Linked DNA regions of Coturnix japonica. The protein of the gene in region 2 interacts with the protein of the main gene of each other region in a biochemical or structural test. Links are inferred from orthologs where the notes say so. Each region holds a gene or a part of one and is shown on either strand. Other genes may lie near its edges.

Region 1 (4,358 bases), on a different chromosome or scaffold from region 2:
CTGTAAAATAATATTGAGAACATGAAGACAAGATACATTTTTTCCTATTTTAGGACAGGTCCTATTTCTAACAGATGATCTGGCATCCACAGATGTTTACCTTGTGATTACAGTACTGTTACCTTATAAGTATCACACACTGATATTTAAGATGAAGCCAAATTATTTCCTGGCAACTGCAGCAATCTCTGCATTAAGTTTTTAAATCAGACTGGCAATTTAGGAGGACTCTGTTTAGAGTGTCAATGGCATTTTATTAAGCAGACAGCTCTTTATATATACAGAGATGTTACAGATCTGTTTTAGACATGCACGTTATATTTATATGGACAATTTCTTTACCCCAAAACTGTCTTTTTGCAGATAAATATCTTAAAATCTAAATTTGCTTTTCAAGTTCTTCTAAAACTGCCTAATTAGCAGCACAAAACAAAATACTGTACAAAGCATCTCCATCAGTTGCGGAAGGAGTCCAGAATAGTTCTAAATACCCATTGCATCTAGCACGCTTTAGGTAAGAAGCAGATTCTTTGAAGAAATCACAGTCCTCACTCTACAGAGATCTTAAGCAGAATTATGTTCTTGGTACAGACATTTCTGACCTAAGAGGTGCTAACATGTTGCTGGATTTTTGCCCAAAGAGCAGCCACATAAGGTCAAAAATTTCTTGCTGTGTTGCACAGCATATCCACGAGTGTCTGCACATCCTGACTACCTGTAAAATATCATTCTAAGTGCTTGGTAGCTCCTAAGAGCTTTAGCACTGCGTTCAAGTTCCAAAGCTATGATCTTACCCCATGGCCATAAGCTTTAGTGAAGCCAGGTCCTTTCTTATGGTCTGTCTTGAAGAACTGGTGGGTGAAATGCTGGGCAAAGAAAGCGAACATCACGTTTGTGCCTTGTGGGTCAGGAATAAATTTTCTTCGCAGCAAGAATTTCTCCACAATCAGCTTTGAATCTGGGAGCTCTTTCTTACCTAGAAGAAGAGTTTTCTTATAGCAAGATATTCATGGCAATTATGCTTAGTACTTATTTTTGCTCCTCACAACCAAATACGTTTCCCATTTTCAAATCTCTAACAAAGAATAGCAGCTTACTAACAAGGGGAACTATCTTCTTTTTGTTTGTTATAGTCACAGTTTTCCCATGCTTACATTTTTGAATTTATTAGAAGCTTTCTAATTCCTGGTTTTAGAACACAGTTCAATAATGAGTACCAGAATGGTTATCTTTTAGCTCATTACACAATCTATCTCATTTGTTGCTATTCTCAAAGCCAACAGTGCATTAAGATGTAGACGAGATCTGTTGGTGTTTTCTAGGACAAAAAGATAAATGAAAACCCTGGAAATGAACACAAGGTATCTGTTTTATTCCTTACCTTTAACACCCATCGGTGTTGGACAGTCATGTCCTATTGGTGGAAGGCTTCTTGTGTAATAGGAAAGATTGGAATAAGCTTCCCAGGATTTGTAATTATAGTCACTATTGTATGTTGGTGGGCTGTCAATCAAGTGTGATCTTGCTGGAAGAAAAAAAAAAATATAAATATATATATGTGTGTGTGTGTGTATTTGGCATATATTAATATATGGAGACTAAGAAGTACAAGAAGTCCATCAAGAAGTACTAGATGGTTTCCCTGTACTTCTGGCAGCCATTGCATCCACAAACTCCACACGCATAATCCCATTTAACTTCAGTAACTTATGGCTACTAAATAATACAAATAAGTCCCAGTTACCAGATGGATCCAGCTACCAAATTTATAACAAATGGGGCAGGTTGCATTAGCAAAATTTGAGTCAGTATTTAAGATAAGGAAAAAAATGCATTTGTCTGAATGCTTATTTCATACCAAGCATAAATACCCTTAGATCCTAAGTTCCCTTTGGAGTGCTTTTCCCATAACATATTTTAGCTTGCTGTTTTATCAGTAAACTAATCAAATAGGGAATTTAAAGTCCTACACGTAGCTCCTGTCAGTTAGAAGTACTGCAAGCATGAAAGTATACTTACACGTCAACACGTATCTCATAATAGTATCTCGTAAGAAGGAAATATTGTTGATGATGTTCCAGACTCCTTTGAAGTGAGTGAGAATGTAGTGGACAGTATTTGGCGTAGGTTTCAGTGTTAGTTTCAGCCACGTGAAGAATTCCGCTGTGAGCAAAGACAGAAAGATTTGAAGTCACTATTCATTATAACCTGCAATTCTGTAATTGAGTTCTCAGACTCCATTTCCATGCAGAGAGATCAGAGGTACTTACGTGTCGTACAGTTTTCCCCATAATAGCCAGTCCTTGTGCAGTCACATTCATACCGATCAAATCCTGTTGTCATGCACACACCTCTGTTCTGACACGGGAGGGAGCAGCAAGGGTTGGCTGGAATAAAATCAAACAGTTAAAAGAGCACCTTCTCTACTGGGTCAGCACTGCCCCTGTACTGCGTTGCATCTTAGGTGCATCAGTGCTCACAGGGCGGGCAGCAGAACGAGTTCCACACGCACGAGGCTCCGGGCAGCTCTGGGCAACACCAGTGACACAAGTTGGAAAGTGCACCGTGCGGGCTGCAACGAACCAGCTCCACACACAGTGGGGGTCCGACAGCCCCTCCTGCTGCACTGCCTTCGGAGCTATACGGTGCGTAAAGCGGAAGACCTGCGCTCCTGCTGTGAGCATCGCGGCGGGCCCGGCCCGCTGTCTTCTGTCTGGGAGCTCTCCGCGCCGCCGGGACGCAGAGCCAAAGCCGAAGTCCCCCGCCCCCATCGCGCCCCCCACTCACCTGCGTGGCCGGCAGCCAGGAGAGCGGCCAGCAATGCACAGGGTAGAAGCATATCCCGGCGAGCCTCTCTACTCTTTCCTCGCAGCTACAGAAATCCCAAGGACGCTGGAAATGGCAGAAATCCTACAGCAGGCAGGTACTCAACCTCATTTATACATCCCGCCGTGACTCACCCCTCTCCCCCCCCGGCCCGGAAACTAACGCAACGCGTGGGGGATTTCGCACGCCTTGCCCCGCCCCGGCCCGGCCCCCGCTCCCACCTGCTGCGCGCCGCGCTTCTGTGCGGGACGCGAGGGGGCGCTGGGGGAGAGCGCCGGGCTCGGGGCGGTGCGGAGCGGTGCGGGGCTGCTGCGAGGTGCCCCTGAGCCGTGAGCGAGCGGAGCGGGCGGCCAGGACACCGTGTGCTCCGGGCTCCCCCCGCCGGACGCCGCTGACCCCCCGCTGACCCGGCCTTGGAGAGTTCAATTTCGTTCGCTTCGTTCGCTTTCAATGAGGTCATCTGGGCAGTTTCTTTTGGTGAAGCGCGTTTCCTCACGCGAAGCAGCGCCTGTCACTGGACGTGGTGCTGCAGATGGATGCTGCGTGATGAGGCGGGTGTTCGGGCGTACTTCGCTTAGTTTTTGCACCTTTGCCATTCCCGTTATTAGGAATCTTACCTCAAAACGAGCAATGCTGGTGGTTTGTTTTTTTTTTCCCTTTCCTTTGCCTTACAATGCCCCTGCTGCAGAGCACGGCCACACTGTAAACAAATCTTAGCTCATTTCCTCCCAGCAGCGCGCAGACGGGATGCTTCTTGTCACAGATTTCTAACCCGCACACGTTACCTCTATTTTTACTCGTTGTTGCGCATGGAAGGTTACGAAACAGCAAGGACGAACGTTGTGGAGTTGTGTAAGGGCTGCACGGTGCTGGGCCCGCTGCTGCTTCCCCCGCCGCCTGCACACTCCGTGAGCTGAAAGCCATAATTGGGTCCATAACAATGCAGCTTGAGTTTTGAGGTGATGGTGTTTACATTGCAAATTGTTGCCTTGAGAAGGGATTTAGTCCGACTTAAACAAAATCTTATTTTTGACTCTGAAGAAACAGGCTGAATGATTTGTGCACACCAGTAATAGGTCATCCAAGATGTTTGAGAGAGCAGCGCACAAAGGTCTGTCATTGCGTGATTCTTCTGCAATAGCAAAAGGCACATCTGATTTTATGCTCACACACACGGAGATATGTGTAGGTGTCCATGCAAAGCACTGCTTTGCCTCAGCCACACATCTGGAGAGCAGTGTGGCTGCTGGGAGCCTGTCCCTGCGGGTTGAAGCAGGATGATGGAAAATAAGGGGATGGGGAATGGTTGTTTTTCCAAAGGGTGTCCTTCACCCTCATGTGTTGTTTTGGGACTGCTCGTAACCAAGATCTGATCACATTATTGAATGAGATTTTTTCTTATAAATAAACTTTTCTTTTGCTGTGGCAGTATTCAGCACCAGGTGGAGGGTCTTTGCATTAACTAACAAGTTTGTTATGCGTTTAACATATAAAATGTCCATGAAAAAAAAAATCACCATTATTTTTACTTC
Region 2 (4,351 bases):
GACTGATTTGTCCCTATTTTCCATGCTATTGTGTCTCATAGTCAAGTGGCAAGAAATGCATAAAACTCTGGTTACAAAGCAGAAGGTTCTGAATCTAGAAAAAGGCAATGGCCCTACACAAAACTGAGTTACATCTGGGGCATGCTTCAGGCCTTAAAAAAAAAAAAAGAATGATTTCTTCTGTCTTCCAGTACGCCAAGACGCCTGTTACTCAGGTACATTTTTTACACTTTCTAGATAACATAATGGAAGAGGTCATAGACTAGTGGCTGAGGCAGGAACTGAATCTTTGCCTTCTCCTCAGTGAGAGTCTGCCCCCTAGGAACTGGATCTAAACTTTGCAGCTACTTCTAAGCTGAACCTGAAAGAAGTGTTCAAACTCAAAGTGTAGCAAAATTCCTTTCTGTATTGGTAGGGTTGGGTCTACCTACAAAATGCTTACAACAAATCAAAGTGATTCTTATTCATCCTTGTGAGAAGATGGGAAAATGTTGCTTTGAAATGTCCGCTTTGAAAAAAAAAAAAAAAAAAACAGAACAAAAAATGCCGCTGCTTTTAGGATGCAAAATGGATACTGTGTGGTTAACATTTATTCTGGCACATCACTGTGTCTTGATATGCTTCTGTGCACTACCAGGAACTCATGGATACAAGACATGGTACCGCTATTCTGGCTGCTTGCTGGTTCTTGATGAACACATTTGATGGTCCACAGTTATCTTGGAGGGACATACTGAAAAGCTTGATTTTTCCATTCCTAAGTTCTTATTCTTTAAAAGTCTTTTGGATTATTGAATCTACCGAGCTAACTTTCTTAATCATTGTTCCTAAAAGAGGCAGAGAAAGCAGGACAGGCTCTGCATGCCACTTCTTTTTTGTCCATTAGGAGTTTTTTCCACCAGCAGCCTGCATCTTGTCCCAGCAGGATCTTTATCCCCAGGCTAAGTCTGGACACTCAAATTCCGGCCTGCCTAGGGGCTGTGACTCATCCTTGGAAGGTTTGGTTGCTTTGGGGACTCCTTCTGTTGATGTACGCAATGAGCCACTAGGAAGCCTTGTTCTCCAGCTCCTACATTCCTGCTACCCAGCTGCTGGGTAGCAGATAAAAGGATTGTTCCCTCCTTCCTAACAGCAAGCACTTTAATGGAAGTTCTGTACCACTAGGAAGTGGTACAGTTGATTATTTTCCCCCTAAGCAAATGGAAACTTCATCCCTTTTCTTTCTAGATCTTGGACAATGGCCCTCTTAACAAAATAGACAGCCCAAATTCCAATTCTTGATCCAGCAACGTGGCCAGTCATACTCAGCACCTCTAAGCTCCTTAGAAGTCAGTGGGATTTGAGGTTACTCAAGACCTTTCTGCATTGTCCGCACATGGCACAAATCATACCCCTGACATACATTTAGGAACTGCTTTCCAATCATTTTACCCCCCCCAGAAACAATATAACATTCATCTTTTTTTAAGGCCAGGTCTTCCTGCTCTACAGCCCCATTGCTCAGGGAGCCCATGCCTGGCACTAAGCACTCCAGTGCCTTTCTCACTCACTGCAGCTGACTGGGCAGCCCTTGGCTTTGCTGGATCCTGGTAAGCTCAGGTGGCAGTGTCCCTGTTTTCACACAAACAGCATAAAATTCTCCCGCTAAAAGAAAACTCAGCCTCGTGATTTTTCTGACCAAAGCGAGTACAAGCAAAAGTGTCCGTCACTCCACATGTGTCAAAACTGTCCAAGTGAGTTAAACACCAGAAGAAAGACTCTAGAAAGGGACCCCGTCCGGTTTTGCCTGGCTTCCTTTACTCACTTCCCGACAGAGGGAAAAACTGCACGGAAACGAACACAAACCAAACCAAGCAAACGAACCCAAACCACCTCTGCAGCCGCTTGGCCGAGGGCGACCCATCCCGCTGCTCAGCCCGGCTGGAGCCGCCCGCACGAGGTCCGCAGCCTTGGGCACACGGCTCGGGGCAGCCGGGCTCAGAGCCTCCCCTCTCTTTTCAACGCCGAAAAGAAATCGTGAGCTGCTCCCTCCCTCCCGCAGCAGGTGGAGGAAAGCGGTCGTCCCGTCCCGGCCCGGCCACTCACCTTCACCACGTCGTCGTTGAGATGCTTGGGGTCTCGGTTGACCAGGTCGATCTCCTTGGTGTGCACGTCGTGCACCGCCTTCTCGCTCAGCTCGTCTGCCATCATCTTGTTATTGGGCTTGTAGATGTTGCCCTGTTCCCTGACGGGCGCCGCGTACAGAAAGCCCTGCGGGAGGGAGAGCGGCCGGGGGGCAGAGCCGGCGGGGAGGGATGGAGGGAGGGAAGGAGGGAAGGAGGCAGGGCGGGCTGGGGGCGGCCCCGGTCCCGCGGGGAGCGCGGTGCGAAGCGGCGGTCGGCAGCCCGGGCTATTTAACGGTGCGGCGGGGCTCTCACCACACCCCGCGCCCGACGCTACGTTCGCTCCCACGGCCGCCGCCAGGCGTCCCCGCCGCGCCCCCCACGCGCCACCCGGGTCGGGCACGGAGCGCTGCCACCCGCCCGACAAACAGCCCGCCCCGGGAGGCTGCTCTGCCCCGGCGCCGGAGCCGGAGCCGGTGCAGAGGGAAACCCCCGCGCTGCGCCCCGCGTGTCCCGCCTTCGGTTTGTGACCCTCACCGCGTGGCCTCGCCCTGCAGCCCCGGGGCAGCCCCCAATCCCCTGCCCGCCGTTCATCCCGTCCTGTCACGTCTCGTCCCATCCCGTCCCGTCCCGTTTTCCGCAACCCCGCTCCCCGTCCTGTCCCGTCCCGTCCCGTCCCGCCGCGCCGCGGAGCGCCGGCAGCAGCCCGAGTGCATCCCCCGGTTCGTCCTACCTCCGAGTCCACGTATTTGGTGCCAGACATGCTGTCCCGGCGCTGCCGCAGGTTGCTCTGCGCTCTAACTCTGAGCAGCGGAGGCAGGAGGATCCCGTTCGGCGGAGCGGCCGGCCAGGGGAAGGGAGGCGGCTGGCGGCCGGCCAGGAGCTGCTCCCCGCCTCGGGCCGGGGCTGATGACAAGCGGCGGAACGGCCCGGCATCGCGCAGCGCGCCCGGGAGCGGCCCGCGGTGGGAGGGGAAAGAGACCCGGCCTCGGAGACCTGCGGGAGAGCGGGCGGCCCCGGCTGCATGGGAAGCTGCGGCGACGGTGACAGCGACAGCAGCCGCAGCCACAACAACCGGGGCCACCCTGCCCTGCTCGAGCCGTCCCCTGGCAGCGGGTCCTCGCCGCTGGGATGCGGGGGGCGGCGGTGGCCGCGTGTGGCAGAGCCCCTGGGGATGGGGGGACGTGAAGGGGTGAGGAGATGGAAAACGAGCAGTGCTGCGTTGGTAGAGCCCCCCCCTCCTCTGACAATGGTCCACGCACTGTCCCGGGAGCGATCGTGGAAACTTGGACATCTTTGGGTTGAAGAAAAAGAGATTTTCTAAACTGGTTCACTTCAAAACTATGCAAATATTTGACAGTCCCGCACGCTAAATGTGCTGTATTTTTCCTGGGAGGACGCTGACCCATGTCTGCCATGCACGTTAACAGCTGGGACTTCACTCTGAGAGGTGCAGTGGGATGCCGGTGTTTGCGCTCTGTTCTCTGCCCCCTCCCAGCTCAGGCTGCCCACAGCCCCATCCAGCCTGGCCTTGAGAACCTCAGCGATGGGGCACCCACGGCTTCTCTGGGCAGCTGTAGCAGCGCCTCACTGCCCTCTGAGTAAAGAATTTCCTTCTAACATCTAACCTAAATCTTCCCTCTTGTAGTTTACAGCTATTCCCCTTGTCCTATCACTATCAGCCCAAGTAAAATTTCATCCCCTTTCTGCTTATAAGCTCCCCTCAAGTACTGAAAGGAAGATCTTGACCCGTTTATTCAGTATTACTGCATGTCTCAAGGATGACTAAAAATAGGAAATTTATTGGTTAATTTGAAACAGTAATGACTCCTGGAATGGTTTCTGCAGAACTTCAGCACCATTTGGAAGACGTTTCTGAATCATAGAACACTGCTACAGTTTAAAGAGATACTGGGAGCAGGAGGAATTGATAGGCTTCACGAGATGAATCCCAGCAGAGGAGCGAAGGAGCTCTGCAAAGAGCTGTGATGCTGTACAGAGGAGCAGGATAGCTCATGTGGAAAGGGCATGGCAAAGGCTTGCAGGAACCTTCTGAAAGCACAGAGCCTGTGCTCCATTCTTACCTGCTGTGAATGGATTATTCAGGAGTGGCCTAAAATTGCCACAGATCTCAGACACCCAACCAAACTTCTTCTCACTGAGCTCTGCTGCACTGTTGGCAGCCCAGGGCAGCTGCTGAGCAGAGTTATGTGGTAACTAGCTGGCCACCTCGCTGCCCTTCTTCTTTT

Evidence for each region. The genes of interacting proteins can lie anywhere in the genome.
Region 1: the proteins of CAV1 (region 2) and PTGS2 form a complex in vitro, tested with the Homo sapiens proteins (2 studies listed by BioGRID). The link is inferred for Coturnix japonica from reciprocal best matches to the Homo sapiens genes CAV1 and PTGS2.

Annotation. Positions count from the first base shown.
Region 1 is NC_029523.1:8,952,513-8,956,870, reverse strand, and holds the start of PTGS2 (prostaglandin G/H synthase 2), read right to left. Parts: upstream 2,960-4,358; 5' UTR 2,840-2,959; coding exon 2,788-2,839; intron 2,388-2,787; coding exon 2,271-2,387; intron 2,164-2,270; coding exon 2,020-2,163; intron 1,526-2,019; coding exon 1,382-1,525; intron 977-1,381; coding exon 795-976; intron 1-794. UniProt on the Homo sapiens protein: Dual cyclooxygenase and peroxidase in the biosynthesis pathway of prostanoids, a class of C20 oxylipins mainly derived from arachidonate ((5Z,8Z,11Z,14Z)-eicosatetraenoate, AA, C20:4(n-6)), with a particular role in the inflammatory response.
Region 2 is NC_029516.1:22,500,333-22,504,683, forward strand, and holds the start of CAV1 (caveolin-1), read right to left. Parts: upstream 3,016-4,351; 5' UTR 2,866-3,015; coding exon 2,836-2,865; intron 2,251-2,835; coding exon 2,086-2,250; intron 1-2,085. UniProt on the Homo sapiens protein: May act as a scaffolding protein within caveolar membranes. Forms a stable heterooligomeric complex with CAV2 that targets to lipid rafts and drives caveolae formation. Mediates the recruitment of CAVIN proteins (CAVIN1/2/3/4) to the caveolae.